Linked DNA regions of Macaca mulatta. The main gene of each other region encodes a partner of the protein of the gene in region 4 in a complex. Links are inferred from orthologs where the notes say so. Each region holds a gene or a part of one and is shown on either strand. Other genes may lie near its edges.

Region 1 (2,480 bases), on a different chromosome or scaffold from region 4:
CCACTCCCAACCCATCGCCAAGAACTGGAGAGAGACAGGAGGAGTGTCACAGGGGAACTTTATTGAGAGGAAACATGGTCACACCCAGCAGACATGCTTTCCTTCAATGTCGGTCTTGCACTGGCGCGCGCGCGCGCACACACACACACCCATCTCCAGCCCCTGCCACTGTCCAGTTCTCAGCCACAAGGCGGGACATTCCTCAATTCCTACGACCAGAGGCAGCAGGGGCAGGAGTGAGGCAAGAGGGAGGGGAGAAGTAGCCTGGTCCTGGGGTCGGGAGGAAGCGGTGCGGAGAGCAGTGCTGGGGTCATGACCAGTGGTTAGGTGCGCTCAACAGCTGCAAGAAGAGTGGGATCCCCAGCCCCAGGTGGCCTCAGCTCTGCCAGTCCCTCTCCACGGAGCCGTTTGGAGTAAGAACAGCGCCTGGGGGAGAAGGGTGGGGCCTCCCACCCCATATTAGTCCTCTCGGCAGGGTGGGGGACTGAAGGGGGCAGGGCAGGGTGGGGCGGTGGTGGGCAACACTCAGCTCTGGGGCTCCTGGGGAGCCTCGCCCCCCTCTTCCCCGGCGTTGTCGGCCGTCCACAGCGTCAGGTTGTCTCGCAGCAGCTGCATGATGAGGGTGCTGTCTTTGTAGGAGTCCTCGCTGAGGGTGTGCAGATCAGCCATGGCCTCATCGAAAGTGGTCTTGGCCAGCGAGATGGCCTCCTCGGGGCTGTTGGCGATCTCGTAGTGGAAGACGGAAAAGTTCAGGGCCAGGCCCAGGCGGATGGGATTGGTGGGCGGCATCTCCTTCTTGCTGATGTCCATGGCCTCCTGGTAGGCTGACCGGGCTGAGTCGATGATGCGCTTCTTGTCGTCACCAGTGGCCACCTCGGCCAAGTAGCGGTAGTAGTCGCCCTTCATCTTCAGGTAGAAGACCCTGCTCTCCGCGTCCCCAGCCTCCTTGATGAGATGGCTGTCCAGCAGGCCCAGCACGGTGTCGCACACGCCCCGGAGCTCAGTCTCCACCTTCTCCCGGTACTCACGCACCTCGGGGCCCTTCTCCTCCGAGCCCTCCTCGTTGCTTTTCTGCTCAATACTGGACAGGACCCTCCAGGCAGCCCTCTGGCCGCCCACCACATTCTTGTAGGCTACTGAGAGCAGGTTTCGCTCTTCGCAGGAGAGCTCCTCACCTTTCTCCACGGCGCCCTTCATGAAGGCTGCCATGTCCTCATAACGTTCGGCCTGCTCTGCCAGCTTGGCCTTCTGGATCAGACTGGCTCTCTCCATGGCTCTGGGGACACACAGGCGGGCGGCGGGCTAACTGCTGCCTGGGACCAATGCCGGACTCTGTGCCTCTCCTGCTCTTGGCCTGCCTTTTGGCTGGGTGGCCAGGCCCAGAGAAGGGTGGGGAGGAGCAGGGGGCGGGACCAGGGCCCAAGACCTGCCTCCGTCTCCTCTCCTCCCCACACCCTTTCCGGCTCTGCAGTAAAGGTAAAAAGGCTGGGATGTGGGGGTGAGTCATCAGAACAGTCAGCAGAAGAAATCTGGGCGTGGGCCCCACCTGCACAGGCACCTTTCCAGGCTCTAGGCTGCCCCCTCTTGTTCGGGGCTGGCATCATATGGCTGCTCACATCAGGAAACTGCCTGGCTTCTCAAATCAGATCCTCCTTCACAGCGCCCTTACAGAGGCTAAGGGCGGCTTTAGCCCCTGGCTGCTTCTGCCTCGACAGAGCCCATAAAGGTTCAGGAGGATGGGGTTCCCAATCCTGCCAGGTAACTTCTCCCCTTGATTCAGGTGAGGATAACTCATGTTTAGGTAGGGCCATAGAGTTTCCCAAGCACTTTCATATTCACCATCGAATTTAATCCCCACTGTGTCTCTGTGACACACACAGGACCACAGAGATGGGAACACTAAGTCTCAGAGAGGGGTGAGATTTGCTCAAAGTCACATAGCCACCACTTCCCTGAAACTCCTTTCTGCACCCTGCTTCCTTTAGCTTTTCTCCCGTTGAAGTCTCTGACCTATGAGCTCCAGGCTGTGTTTGGAAGTGAGATCCAGGCTCTTTCTCAATCTACCTGAAGATGGTTCCATCCCTCAGGCCTCACTCCCCCTCAGGGTCCCCTCTGAGCTCCCAGAATGCGCAGGTGGCAGCTTTCAGAGTGCCACTTAATGAAGTGTTTAACAAGCAGCCTCTGACGCTCCAGCCCAGCCTTTGTAATTAGTCACCCAGTAGGTTTGTTGTACACATTTCCCATCACTACACAATTTTCCCTTTCAAGTTGGTGGCCTGTTGCCACTTGTTTGAGGATTTACCCTCTGGCCCTCCACACCAGGTCACTTGCCCTCTCCAAGCCACATGCCATCAGGTACCAGTGGGGTTCACAGAGGGTGGGGTCCAGCTCCCCGGCTGTCCCACTTTCCTGCCTGACTCAGACTGCTCTCTGTCTGAGGCTGGGAAGCAGTCCAGTTTGATCCCCCAGGGGGGACGCTA
Region 2 (4,102 bases), on a different chromosome or scaffold from region 4:
TTGTTATAATGAATCATTATATATTCAAGGCATCAAAGTTCAGTTTTTACAAATTAAAAAATGTTCAGAATGTTAATGAATTAATTTTAATATTTCTTTGCTTAGCAAAATATGTTTTAATCATAATATTGGTTCCAATGTGTTCTTTAAGAGTATGAAATATTTCTGATTTTCATGCATGAACCAGATCCCCTTTTTTGTTGTAACTGGATAATTACAGATATATATGTAATACTGCCCTCTAGAGAGTGGCTCAGGAGAAACTCTAAGTACCTGCAAACCTTAATTGCTTTTTTTTTTTTTTTTTTTGCCCATGACATACATGTGCCCTGCAGTTACTTTTGCTATTAACTGCCCTTGGTAGCCAGGCGCAGTGGCTCATGCCTGTAATCCCAGCACTTTGGGAGGCCGAGGCGGGCGGATCACGAGGTCAGGAGATTGAGACCATCCTGGCTAACAGGGTGAAACCCCGTCTCACCTAAAAATACAAAAAATTAGCCGGGCATGGTTGTGGGCGCCTGTAGTCCCAGCTGCTGGGGAGGCTGAGGCAGGAGAATGGCGTGAACCCAGGAGGCCGAGCTTGCAGTGAGCCGAGATCGCAACACTGCACTCCATCCTGGGCGGCAGAGCGAGACTCCGCCTCAAAAAAAAAAAAAAAAAAACAAAACTTCCCCTTGGTCAAGTAACAATCTGTTCAAATGGAAGATAAGTATTGTTGCAGTCTTATTAGAGCTGCCAAATTACAGCTGTGTAATTTTAACCCAGATAAAATACTAAAGAGAACCCATTAGGTTATGAGAAGGATAGCAAGATAATTTATCTTCCAAACCTGGACACTTCTCAAAGTGAAAAATCACACTAGCAATAATCACACTGGGACAACAGGCATAAATCAGGGTTGCCCCAGGCAAACTAGAGCATATGGTAACCCTAGCTATGAGGCAAACCTGGTTCTCCAGAATCTCCCACATTGCCTGATAATGTGCTCAATATAAACTTGTCAAAGGCAAAATAATGGTAACAAGAACTCTGTCTCTATATTATATGTGCATTAATTGATTTTTTTTTTTTTTTTGAGATGGAGTTTTGCTCTTGTTGCCCCGGCTGGAGTGCAATGGCGTGATCTTGGCTCACTGCAACCTCTGCCTCCTGGGTTCAAGCGATTCTCCTGCCTCAACCTCTCAAGTAGCTGGGATTACAGACATGCACCACCATGCCCAGCTAATTTTGTATTTTTTAGCAGAGACGGGGTTTCTCCAGGTTGGTCAGGTTGGTCTTGAACTCCCGACCTCAGGTGATCCCCCACCTCGGCCTCCCAAAATGCTGGGATTACAGGCATGAGCCAAAAGGTCGAGCCATTGATTTCTTGAGAAGAATTAGCCAGCTCTTTTGCCTTTATGTTGACACAATATGTCTTAGAATTTAATCTCTTTTGGAGTAATGTTCAACACAAAGCAAGTTGGCAATGGACTTGTCTTTCCTGGCCATGTCAACTTATAGTGGTATTAACTCATACCTCAACAGCTGAGTTATATCTGCATAAAACTTTTGGAATAGTCTCCATGACTTTTGATGAATTATCATTTCCTAGATGTCTGAAAACATTCCAACATTAGCTTCAGGGCCCTCTGTTGAATCAGCATAATAAACCGAATGACAAAAATCAAGATTCAAAGAAACCAAGGCTGATCAAACCCCTTGTTCTACTCTTTTCCCTCTTCTCACTCTGCACTTGACTAGTCTTAAGAAAAAAACCAGTCGGTCATAGTGGCTCACGCCTGTAATCCCAGCACTTTGGGAAGCCAAGGTGGGCAAATCACCTGAGGTCGGGAGTTCGAGACCAGCTAGACCAACATGGTGAAACCGTCTCTACTAAAAAACACAAAATTAGCCAGGCGTGGTGGCACATGCCTGTAATCCCAGCTACTTGGGAGGCTGAGGCAGGAGAATCACTTGAACCCAGGAGGCGGAGGTTGCAGTGAGCGGAGATCGCACCATTGCATTCCAGCCTGGGCAACAAGAGCGAAACTCTTGTCTCAAAAAAATAAATAAATAAATAAAATAAAAGTAAAAAACCAAAGCTACCTGATAGGCTAATGAGATAACATTTAATAGGGGTAAGTGTAAAGTCTTACATCTGGTTTTTTAAAAATATCTGGTGCATAGGCCGGGTGCAGTGACTCATGCCTATAATCTCAGCACTTTGGGAGGCCAAGGCAGCCGGATAACTTGAGGTCAGGAGTTTGAGACCAGCCTGGCCAACATGGTGAAACCCCTATCTCTACTAAAAATACAAAAATTAGCCAGGCGTGGTGGCAGGTACCTGTAATCCCAGCTACTCGGGAGGCTGAGACAGAAGAATCCCTTGAACCCGGGCAGCGGAGGTTGCAGTGAGCCAAGATCATGTCACTGCACTCCATCCTGGGCAACAGAGTGAGGCTCCATCTCAAAAAAAGAAAGAAAGAAAAAAAAAAGGGCCGGGTGCAATGGCTCATGCCTATAATCCCGGGACTTTGTGAGGCCAAGGAGGGTGGGTCACCTGAGGTCAGAAGTTCAAGACCAGCCTGACCAACATGGAGAAACCCCATCTCTACTTTAAAAAAAAAAAAAAAGAAACAAAGAAAATTAGCCAGGCGTGGTGGCAGACTCCTGTAATCGCAGCTACTCGGGAGGCTGAGGCAGGAGAATTGCTTGAACCCAGGAGGTGGAGGTTGCAGTGAGCTGAGATCGTGCCACTGCACCCCAGCCTGGGTGACAGAGCGAGCGTCTCAAAAAAAAAAAAAAAAAAAAAAATCTGTTGCATAACTAAAAGAAAATGGAGACTTGGTTTAAGAAAAAATCACATAAAGGCAATCCTCCAGATTAAACCTTGGAATTTTAATTAATTACAAATTCATCATGAGCCAACATTACAAGTTGACTAAAAAACTTACAGCAACTTCAGGCTGCATTAGTGTCCAGATGTGCAACATCCAGATCCAATTCAGCTACCAAGGGATATTATTTCCAGTTCCAAATACATTTTGGAAAGGACATTAACAAAGTTTAATGTCCTTAGGGAGCAATTGGGATGATAAAAATGATATCATATGAGAAATAGTTAGAATAGCAAAGGATATTTATCGCAAAGGGTGGAAAAATTGTGAGGGGAAGGGTAGGGAGGATAGACTGATATCTAAAAGGTTATCATGTAGAAAAGAGATCCACATTTTGTATAGCTTGAGGGCAGAATTAAGGTCATTAAATACAACTATAAACAGCCAATTTTAACCCAAGGATGAGCTTTATAACAATTGATATAGCAACAAATGGATTGGGTTGCCTTGTAGATTATGAGTTCCTCCTATCACTTAAAGGAGCTTCAGCATGGACTAGGAGACTGGATTAAACATTTCCAAGTCTATAATTATCCTGAAGAATTAATGCTCAGTATAATTCAAAACACATGAGAATTGCCTTCCCTGGGGTGTTAAATTTTATTTCAAGTCAATCAAAATAGATGTAAGTGGTCAGGCACAGTGGCTCATGCCTGTAATCCCAACACTTTGGGAGGCTAAGGTGGGTGGATCACTTGAGGTCAGGAGTTCAAGACCAGCCTGGCCAACATGGTGAAACCCCATCTCTACCAAAAAATGCAAAAATTAGCCAGGCATGGTGGCACACGCCTGTAATCCCAGCTACTCGGGAGGCCAAGGGACGAGAATCACCTGAACCTGGGAGGCAGAGGTTGCAATGAGCCGAGATTGTGCCACTGCACTCCAGCCTAGGTGACAGAGTAAGACTTCATCTCAAAAAAAGAAAAAACAAAGTATAAAATCAAAGATATTCTCATTTCACAATTTTGTGTAGTTCAAGTAGTCACCCTATTTCAGAAAATATTAGATAAAACCATCATTCAACATGAGCAGGAGAATCTCAATTTGAAGCTTTTGAGTGGAGATCTTGTCTTCCCAGAGGTTGTTTCCATGCTAATAGTTCAGATTTCACTCTTTTGAAAAGTAAATATTTATTTAGAAGCACTCAAGTGAACAATATATACACATTAGCAGAGTGTGAGCTTTTTGAGAAGGAGGAAAAAACAGAATTACCAGAGAGTTTAAGA
Region 3 (3,963 bases), on a different chromosome or scaffold from region 4:
TCGGGCCTGAAAGTCTGCAGGGCTCTGTTTCCTCATCTGCGAAGTGGGAATAGCGAAATTCACCTTGCTAGGACCTTATAAGGATTAAATAACTCAAGAGAAAGTACCAGGGCAAGGCACGTAGTAGGAACTCAGCACATTCGATTTTTCCCGCCTCCCCACGCGGTCCTCCAGGGAAGAAGCGAGGCGCTTGAGCCCGACTGGGCTGGTACAGTGGGGTGGGGGCCCGTCCCCCCACGGAGCTGCCTCCCCATCCACCATCCACCCCAGCCCAGCCCGGCCGCTCACGCACGCCCATTTGCTGCCCTCGCTCCATCCCTATTAGGCGCATTAGCCAGCCCAGCGGCTCTGGTTACAGACGTCTGAATGACAAAGTGCCTCCATTACCGGCGCGGCCCGCCAGCAGACCCGCCGGGACGCGCTCTGGTTTCAGCCCTCTCTCTCGCGCCGCGTCCCAGGAAGAAACTCGTACCGCGCACAGCCAGCCCAGACGGAGCAGCCGTCCTCGGAGGCGGAGGCGGGAGCCGCAGGGGCTGCAGACGGCAGGTCCACCTTCCCCAGCGCCCAGGCCCTCCATGCCCAGCTCCCCTCCTTCTGGGTCTTCGCGCCTGGACCCTCGCTCCTGCCCAGACCCGGATCCCACGTAGTCGCCCCTCTGGGGTCGGGACTAGAGACCACCCCGGTCCCTCCTACCCCCCCTTCTGGTCCACGCTCGCCCACTCGCGTCCAGGCAGCGTCTCTAACCAGCGGGGTTAGTCAGCAGATGTGCCCGCGGTCGCTCCCAAATCCCCGGACTCAGCCACAAGTCCTGACAGTTCCAGGGAACCCGGGCTGAGCTTTCGGACTGGGGCCCGCACCCGGACAGGATCTCTGTCCACCTCACCCGCAGGCTCTACCGCCGCCTGACTCTGGGGACAGTGTCAACCCCGCCCCTTCTGGAAAACGCAGCCGTGACCCCGATCTGGGACAGCGGCTACCCCCTGAAAAGATGGGGGAGTACCGAGTTGGGACTCAGGTCGGGGGAGTCTAGCCACGACTCTGGCCCAACTTGCTGTGAGATCTCGGCCAAGTCGTTAAAACTCTCAAAGTCTCAGTCTCCGTATCTGTAAAGCCGAGATTTGGTGCGCAGTGCTCAGATGAAAGACGCTGGCAGGGAGAGTGAAGACGCCTCCTCCATTGCCAGACCTTCCAGGGCATTCGGTTCATGGCCATACAGCAGGCCACCTCTGACAATCTCCTCGGACCGCCCGGAGGACCCGCCGACCTTTGCCGAGTCAGTGGCTCGGGACACCGCGCGGCAGAATCCGAGGCGTCCGCGCGCTCCCGTCTCGTTAGGTGCCCAGCGGCTTGCACCGAGAGCCAGGCGAGGCGCAGACCGGATCCTGACCCTTCGAGGAGCTGGAGCCCACGGAGCGCTGTGGGCGCGGCGCTCGGGTCGCGCAGCTGGGTTGGGGGAGGCGCGCAGCCCCAGACGCTCAGCAGCCGCGGACTGCACTTGTCTCGCCCCGCAGCGCCTCCTGCCGGCCGCCTCCCGCCTGCGCAGCCAGAGCGGCGCGCTTTCGGGACGGGTCCCCGCCTAGCGCGCCCGGGCGCTCTGCACCCCGAGATGTAGCCACCGCCAGCCCGGGTAGGAGCACACCTGGTCCGTCCCTCGCGATCCGCCGCGCTGCTTCAAGCCGTGAGAACACGAGCGTCGGAGGAGCCCGTCGGCCGTGGGGGAACCCCAAGAGCGGGTTCGCCCCGGCGAAGTGGGCACTCCCCTCCCAGCCTTAGATCCCCAGCCGCAATTCCAGGACTGGGCGAGGCCGCGGGCAGGAGCGCCGGGACAGGCGCTGGAAATGTCCAAGCCTCCGCGCTCTTCTTCTCTCACTATCCCTCAGCTGGCAGGCGGGACCCCGACCGCTTTAGGGTCCGCGGCCCGCTCCGTCTGCTTTCCTTTTGCTTCCCATCTCTCTGCCGCCCTCGCTGTCGTTCCTCTTCTGCCCTCCCTAACCCACTTCTCAGCCGCTCTCCAGCTCCCCAACCTCTCCCTCCGACGCCCCTCCCCCCCATTGTCTGGCCGGTCCCCATTGTCCTTGTCAGGTCCCCTCTGTCTCCAGTCCCTCCGACCTCCTCCATTGTTCCATCCCCTCGTCCTGGGCTCCCCGCCCCAACCCAGCTCACCCCTCACATCTCTAGTCCCCGTCCAGTTCCCCCTCCTTCTCTCGCCTTGGTTCCGTCCCACGACTCTCCAGAGACCGAGATGCTGAGGGGAAAGTCCCTTCGGGATCCCGACATTCGAGTGTCCTCTTCCGAAGAACCCAGGCATCCGAGAACCCCATGCCCCCTCCTGAAAGACCCCTCCCAGCTCCTCCACCGCCCCCTGCGGTACCTGAGGACCCGAAACCGCGCTCCGGTCTTGCCCGCATCTCCACCCTGGAGGGTCGCCTCTGCGTTCCGGGAACCCTAGACCCTCCTTCGTGGTCCCGGCATCAGAGACCCTGTCCCACCACCCACCCTCAGCATCTGGGACCCCAGCGCTCTGTTCTGTTTCCTTGGTGGCGCCGCCCGGCTCTCCTCGGAGTTCTGATCCCGGGAAAGGGAGAGGCCCCCCTCCGGCTAGCACTCACCCCCAGAAGCAGCAACAGCAGCAGGCGCGGCCCGTCCATGGCGCGGCCGGTGGCACCTGCCCTCATCGTCCGCCTTCCGCGGCAGCGCTCGGTTTCCAGCTCGGTCCGCTCTGCGGACTGATGGGGCTGCGCTGCGCTGCGCTCCAGCGCCCCCCCGGCCCGCCGGAGCTGGCCGCGGCTCAGCTCGCTCTGACTGCGGGCGGGAGAGGCTGGGTGAAGCCAGTGCTGCGGCCCCGCCTCCGCCCCGCCCAGCCCGCCCACCCCCGGAACCGCGCCCGCCCGCCCCGCTGCCTCGGGGTGGGGAGCGGAGGCAAAGGGAGGGCGTGCGGTTCCCCGCACCCCGCTGCCGCTTCTCCCCGCCTTGTCCCTTAGAGCCTCTCACCCATCCCGCCCTGGTACCCAGTTCCCGGCCCGCACTACTGCGCGTCCGTCCCGGATGCTGTGGGCCCGGGGACCAGGGCGTCCCCACTGCGGTTTCTGTTCCTCTCCGGCTGCGGCCCGCCACAGGGTTCACTCTCTTACCCATCTTCCTCCGTCTCTGGCTTCGCCTTCTCCCTGGAGCCTTGCTCCCTACCTGGCCCCTATCAGTAAGAATGCCCGCTTGCCCTCCCTGCCCTTCATCTACGCCCATCACCCCACCTCCTCCCCTATTCCCACCCCTCCCCTTCCCAGTGCAGGAGATCCCTGGGCAGAGGCCTGGGGGAGGGGAGGGGCGCAGGCGGCCTGACCTCGGCCATCGACATTCAAGGTGGAGTCCATTCCAACATCATTTGATTCTCAAATGAGGGGTTTGAAGGGGTCACAGGTGTGCACACAATGCACAGGAATACACACTCTCAAGCTCACCTGTATGTGTGATTGTGCACTTACGTGTGCCCACACCGTCCTCATGCACTCCTGCCGACCTGACTATCATATACATGCACGTCTCCAGGCCTGCACACGGGCACATATGTGATCCGGACATTCAAATGCACACACCTACGCATTCACACATGCATGTATACTGTCGCGTCTGCATAAGTCCTCACACGTATACAGTCACACAAGCACACACACATTCATGAGCTCACACACACACTGACACCCATAAACAAACAAACAGATGCATCTTCAACAATATAAACTTCACCAGACTGTGAGTGTCTCCATGGGCTTATGAGCTCTGCAGGCAGGGATTATGGTTTCTTCTCTGAATTCCTGGTATACAGTAGGGTTCAAGAAAGTTCTGTAGAAGGGAATAAATAGAAAAGTGGTGAAATGGACTCATATCTGTGTACCCATCCATGTACTAGGACCAAACTCGTCTTGCCCTAGAATCCTTGCCAAGTCCAAATAATATGCCTCCCAACCC
Region 4 (3,440 bases):
TTTCTTTTATTCAAACTTTTTTCAGGTTTGGGTCTGTTGCTTCTTGAAAGTTCATATTTTCAAATTTACTCTGTATCTCACTTTCTGCTGACTTTGCTATGCGGTTTCAGATAACGGCTATTATTCCTTGTAAGTTCTCATATAGTAATATAACCCATTAACCAAAAAAGTGCTCACACTGTACTTTTATTGTTTGGGCTAAATTTGATACGGACAAGTTAAGAAAATAAAAACAGTGTGGGTATTAGGCAGCAAGTAAAAAGAGTAAGTTAGAGCCATATCTGATCTGGAAGGCTGTACTATTAAATGCAAAAAGCAGGTTGCAGTATGATGTATTATTATAATAATAATATGCAGAAAAGATCCTTTCCCAAATGAGCATATGTTCTAAATATAAGCAGGAAGAAAGGGACAGAAGGATAAACATCAGGCTGTTAACTTTATTTAGCTTGGTTGTTGGTGACAGTAGGGAAGGCTGAGGTTAAAAATGGAGACAGACAGCCGGTATTAATATATTTATTTTTTCTTTATATTGTATTATTTTACCTTTGAAATATCTTTTTTAAAGGGAATTTATAAATAAAACTTTAAAATGTAATCCTATTAATGGAGTTTTAAATTAATAAGCCTTTGTAGAGCAATTAAGCCTGGGATTTTAGGGCAGAGATTCTGTACTGTTTCTGGTGGGTAAAACGGTATATACTTCATAAAATCAAATTGCATCTTAGACGAGTAACAAATAATCCACGAAGAACATGAATGTGAAAATGGCTTCTATCAGAAATACATCATACCTTAAGGCACTGTTATGAAAAAGAATAATAATTATTACCCTTTAAAAGTGGTTTCTGTTAACAAGAGACATAAAAAATTGAACTATGTAGCAAAATTCAAACTTTTTACTTGTATTAATTAATAAAAAATACTGCAGTGTCATGGAGGGAGACTAATATTTACCCAAAGAAGAACTTTCAATAAAGCTTTTAATACTCACGGATTTTATATTAAAAAAAAAGTCAAAGCAACAGAGATATAAATATCCTTTTATAAAACGACTTTTCTTCTTGAAAAACAGTCACTTACACGCTTTTATTTTGAAGTAAATTTAAAGATGGTGATCTAGAAACCACAAGTATTTCCGGGTAAGGCTGAAGACCCATTTGTTTATTATCTTTCAACTTTTGAACTATAACTTTGGCAAATTCTTCTCCTTGGATGTCAGTAGTGTCTAGTAATTGTCTGACTTTTGAGGTCCTTGTAGGCTTGGTACTAATAAGTTCATAGTCCTCTTTCATGATTAAGTCCCTGGACAGAAGGGCATCTAGCGACTGGTTAAGGCAGGCTTCTGTCATTTGGTTCACAATGTCTTCCCTTTTGCTCTGGATCCACTGCTGGGCGATACCAGGCTGCAGACGTTCTGAAAAAGAGCAAGGAATGAATATTTAAAAGGTGAGGACAGATACATAGCAATAAGTAAAATTCCATGAAAAATCAATAAAGCATAAAACCTAATTTTCCTATGATTGTGCCAATATTGAACACCAGTATTTGGGGGAATGCTATCATTTTTCAGGAAACACTCAGAGATTTGGGCTATCTCCCCCTCACTCCCCAGAAAAGGCACTGCCTTTTTATATGGTATAAATCTTGGGGCAAAAACCACTTTATGTCGTCATTCCCATCTTCTAGGATTTGTTCAGTTTTGTTTAATGTCCATTTTGTTTCAAATATAAAAGATACCTGCAAATTTGTTAATTAGTAATATGTTAATACCTCCTCTTAGTACTGCCTCCCTATTTAGATGTTCACAGAACACCATGTGGGCCATGTCATCGTTCCCATCTCCTGGGATTTGTTTTCCTACTTAAGAAGGTATATATTTATCATATTGAGGAAATAAAGACAAATAAATCTCACTGTATGGTAAACCCACTGAACATAAATATGTAAGCTAAATGGCATCACTTACAAGGTGTTTCACAGTAAATATTTACCTGAGTTTCCTGCAGTTGAGAGTGGATTTATTGTTGCTGAAGAGCATGGAGTGGTCTTGTGATCACAGAATGCAGCCCTTTGAGACGCAGAAATGGTGCTGTCCCAACTGTGATTTCCAGGACAGCGATGCAGCATCATAAAAGAACAGTGTTGAGTTTTTCCTACAAAATACAACATCTTCATTAGAGGTGGAATATGCCTTAGAAGTTCCTATTGGCTAACATGTCAACATCTGAGCAGACAGAAGGTAGGCTCCAATGTCTTTAGTTTCCACTAATATTAAGGCTAGTTCAGAAACCTAATTCTGCAAGTAGATATTTCTTAAAACAAAAAAGGGTTTATATGGCATGCTTTCACTACAATTTCTGTCAGCAATTGTCTGTCCTATGTAAATTATAAATCATAGAATTTTACTTCTTCACAAAGTCCCATATTTTTCCTGTGTCTTCTTACTCCTTCTGAAGTTTAAGTATGTTCTCTAAATCTATATATGATGTCTGTCTTTCTACTTTCTCTTCTGGGAATCCCACTCAGCCTCAGGGACTTAATCATCCCCTCTATTCCCCAATCCACACAATTACATTTTCTGTCTTCATTGAACTTTTGCCTTATATATTCTTTCTTTTCTTTCCTCCCTTCCTTCCCTCCCTCCCTCCCTCCCTCCCTCCCTCCTTCCTTCCTTCCTTCCTTCCCTCCCTCCCTCCCTCCCCCCCCATTTTTTATTTTTTGGAGTTTGTCACCCAGGCTGGAGTGCAATGGTTGCGATCTCAGCTCACTGCAACCTCCACCTCCCAGGTTCAAGAGATTCTCCTGCCTCAGCCTCTCAAGTAGCTGGGATTACAGTTCCATGCTACCACAACTGGCTAATTTCTGTATTTTTAGTAGAGATGGGATTTCACCATGTTGGCCAGGCTGGTCTCGAACTCCTGACCTCAGGTGATCCGCCCGTCTCAGCCTACCAAAGTTCTAGGATTACAGTTGTGAGCCAACACACCCAGCTGTGAACCTTAATCTTATATTTTCAAAAGCCCTCTGGACATCAACCCTTTGTGTGCTCCTAGTACCTCAAATTAAAAACAAAAAACAAAAAACATTGAAAGTGTAATGTTTCTTAACTCTAAAACTTGTTTTAACTTCTTCTTCTTTTTTTTTAATTGAGACAGAGTCTTGCTCTGTCACTCAGGCTGGAGTGCAGTGGCGCAATCTCAGCTCAGTGCAACCCCTGCCTCCTGGGTTCAAGCGTTTCTTGTGCCTCAGCCTCCCGAGGAGCTGGGATTACAGGTGTGCACCATCATACCCACTAATTTTTTTGTATTTTTAGTAGAGATGGGGTTTTGCCATGTTGGCCAGGCTGGTCTTGAACTCCTGGCCTCAAGTGATTTGCCCACCTTGGCCTTGCAAAATTCTGGGATTACATGTGTGAGCCACCGCACGCAACCTGTTTT

The links. The genes of interacting proteins can lie anywhere in the genome.
Region 1: the proteins of RIPK2 (region 4) and SFN are in contact, whole or in part, in a crystal structure (PDB 7OBS), measured with the Homo sapiens proteins. The link is inferred for Macaca mulatta from reciprocal best matches to the Homo sapiens genes RIPK2 and SFN. Residues at the interface, in NP_003812.1 of Homo sapiens: Leu535, Gln536, Asn537, Lys538, Ser539, Met540; in NP_006133.1 of Homo sapiens: Lys49, Arg56, Arg60, Lys122, Asp126, Arg129, Tyr130, Pro167, Gly171, Leu174, Asn175, Val178, Tyr181, Glu182, Ile219, Leu222, Asp225, Asn226, Leu229, Trp230.
Region 2: the proteins of RIPK2 (region 4) and XIAP are in contact, whole or in part, in a cryo-EM structure (PDB 8AZA), measured with the Homo sapiens proteins. The link is inferred for Macaca mulatta from reciprocal best matches to the Homo sapiens genes RIPK2 and XIAP. Residues at the interface, in NP_003812.1 of Homo sapiens: His136, Asn137, Met138, Thr139, Pro141, Ile208, Asp278, Glu279, Arg280, Ser282, Lys285; in NP_001158.2 of Homo sapiens: Lys208, Asn209, Trp210, Glu211, Pro212, Cys213.
Region 3: the proteins of RIPK2 (region 4) and NGFR are in contact, whole or in part, in an NMR structure (PDB 2N83), measured with the Homo sapiens proteins. The link is inferred for Macaca mulatta from reciprocal best matches to the Homo sapiens genes RIPK2 and NGFR. Residues at the interface, in NP_003812.1 of Homo sapiens: Gln437, Ser465, Arg466, Asp467, Leu468, Met470, Glu472, Asp495, Ile496, Gln497, Gly498, Glu499, Glu500, Lys503, Ile523, Leu524, Val526, Ser527, Arg528, Ser529, Pro530, Ser531, Leu532, Asn533, Leu534, Gln536; in NP_002498.1 of Homo sapiens: Gly334, Leu335, Ser338, Leu339, Pro340, Lys343, Val347, Ser354, Ala355, Asp357, Arg360, His361, Gly364, Glu365, Tyr368, Pro370, Ile373, Asp374, Leu398, Asp399, Leu401, Leu402, Arg406, Arg407, Ile408, Gln409, Arg410, Ala411, Asp412, Val414.

Annotation. Positions count from the first base shown.
Region 1 is NC_133406.1:214,122,291-214,124,770, forward strand, and holds SFN (14-3-3 protein sigma), read right to left. Parts: upstream 1,338-2,480; 5' UTR 1,273-1,337; coding exon 526-1,272; 3' UTR 501-525; downstream 1-500. UniProt on the Homo sapiens protein: Adapter protein implicated in the regulation of a large spectrum of both general and specialized signaling pathways. Binds to a large number of partners, usually by recognition of a phosphoserine or phosphothreonine motif.
Region 2 is NC_133426.1:130,313,928-130,318,029, reverse strand, and holds the start of XIAP (E3 ubiquitin-protein ligase XIAP), read right to left. Parts: upstream 2,801-4,102; 5' UTR 2,589-2,800; coding exon 2,324-2,588; intron 1-2,323.
Region 3 is NC_133421.1:60,513,321-60,517,283, forward strand, and holds the start of NGFR (tumor necrosis factor receptor superfamily member 16), read right to left. Parts: upstream 2,801-3,963; 5' UTR 2,676-2,800; coding exon 2,610-2,675; intron 1-2,609. UniProt on the Homo sapiens protein: Low affinity receptor which can bind to NGF, BDNF, NTF3, and NTF4. Forms a heterodimeric receptor with SORCS2 that binds the precursor forms of NGF, BDNF and NTF3 with high affinity, and has much lower affinity for mature NGF and BDNF.
Region 4 is NC_133413.1:100,250,481-100,253,920, reverse strand, and holds the end of RIPK2 (receptor-interacting serine/threonine-protein kinase 2), read right to left. Parts: intron 2,157-3,440; coding exon 1,995-2,156; intron 1,873-1,994; exon of another isoform or gene 1,802-1,872; intron 1,450-1,801; exon of another isoform or gene 1,418-1,449; coding exon 1,080-1,417; 3' UTR 501-1,079; downstream 1-500.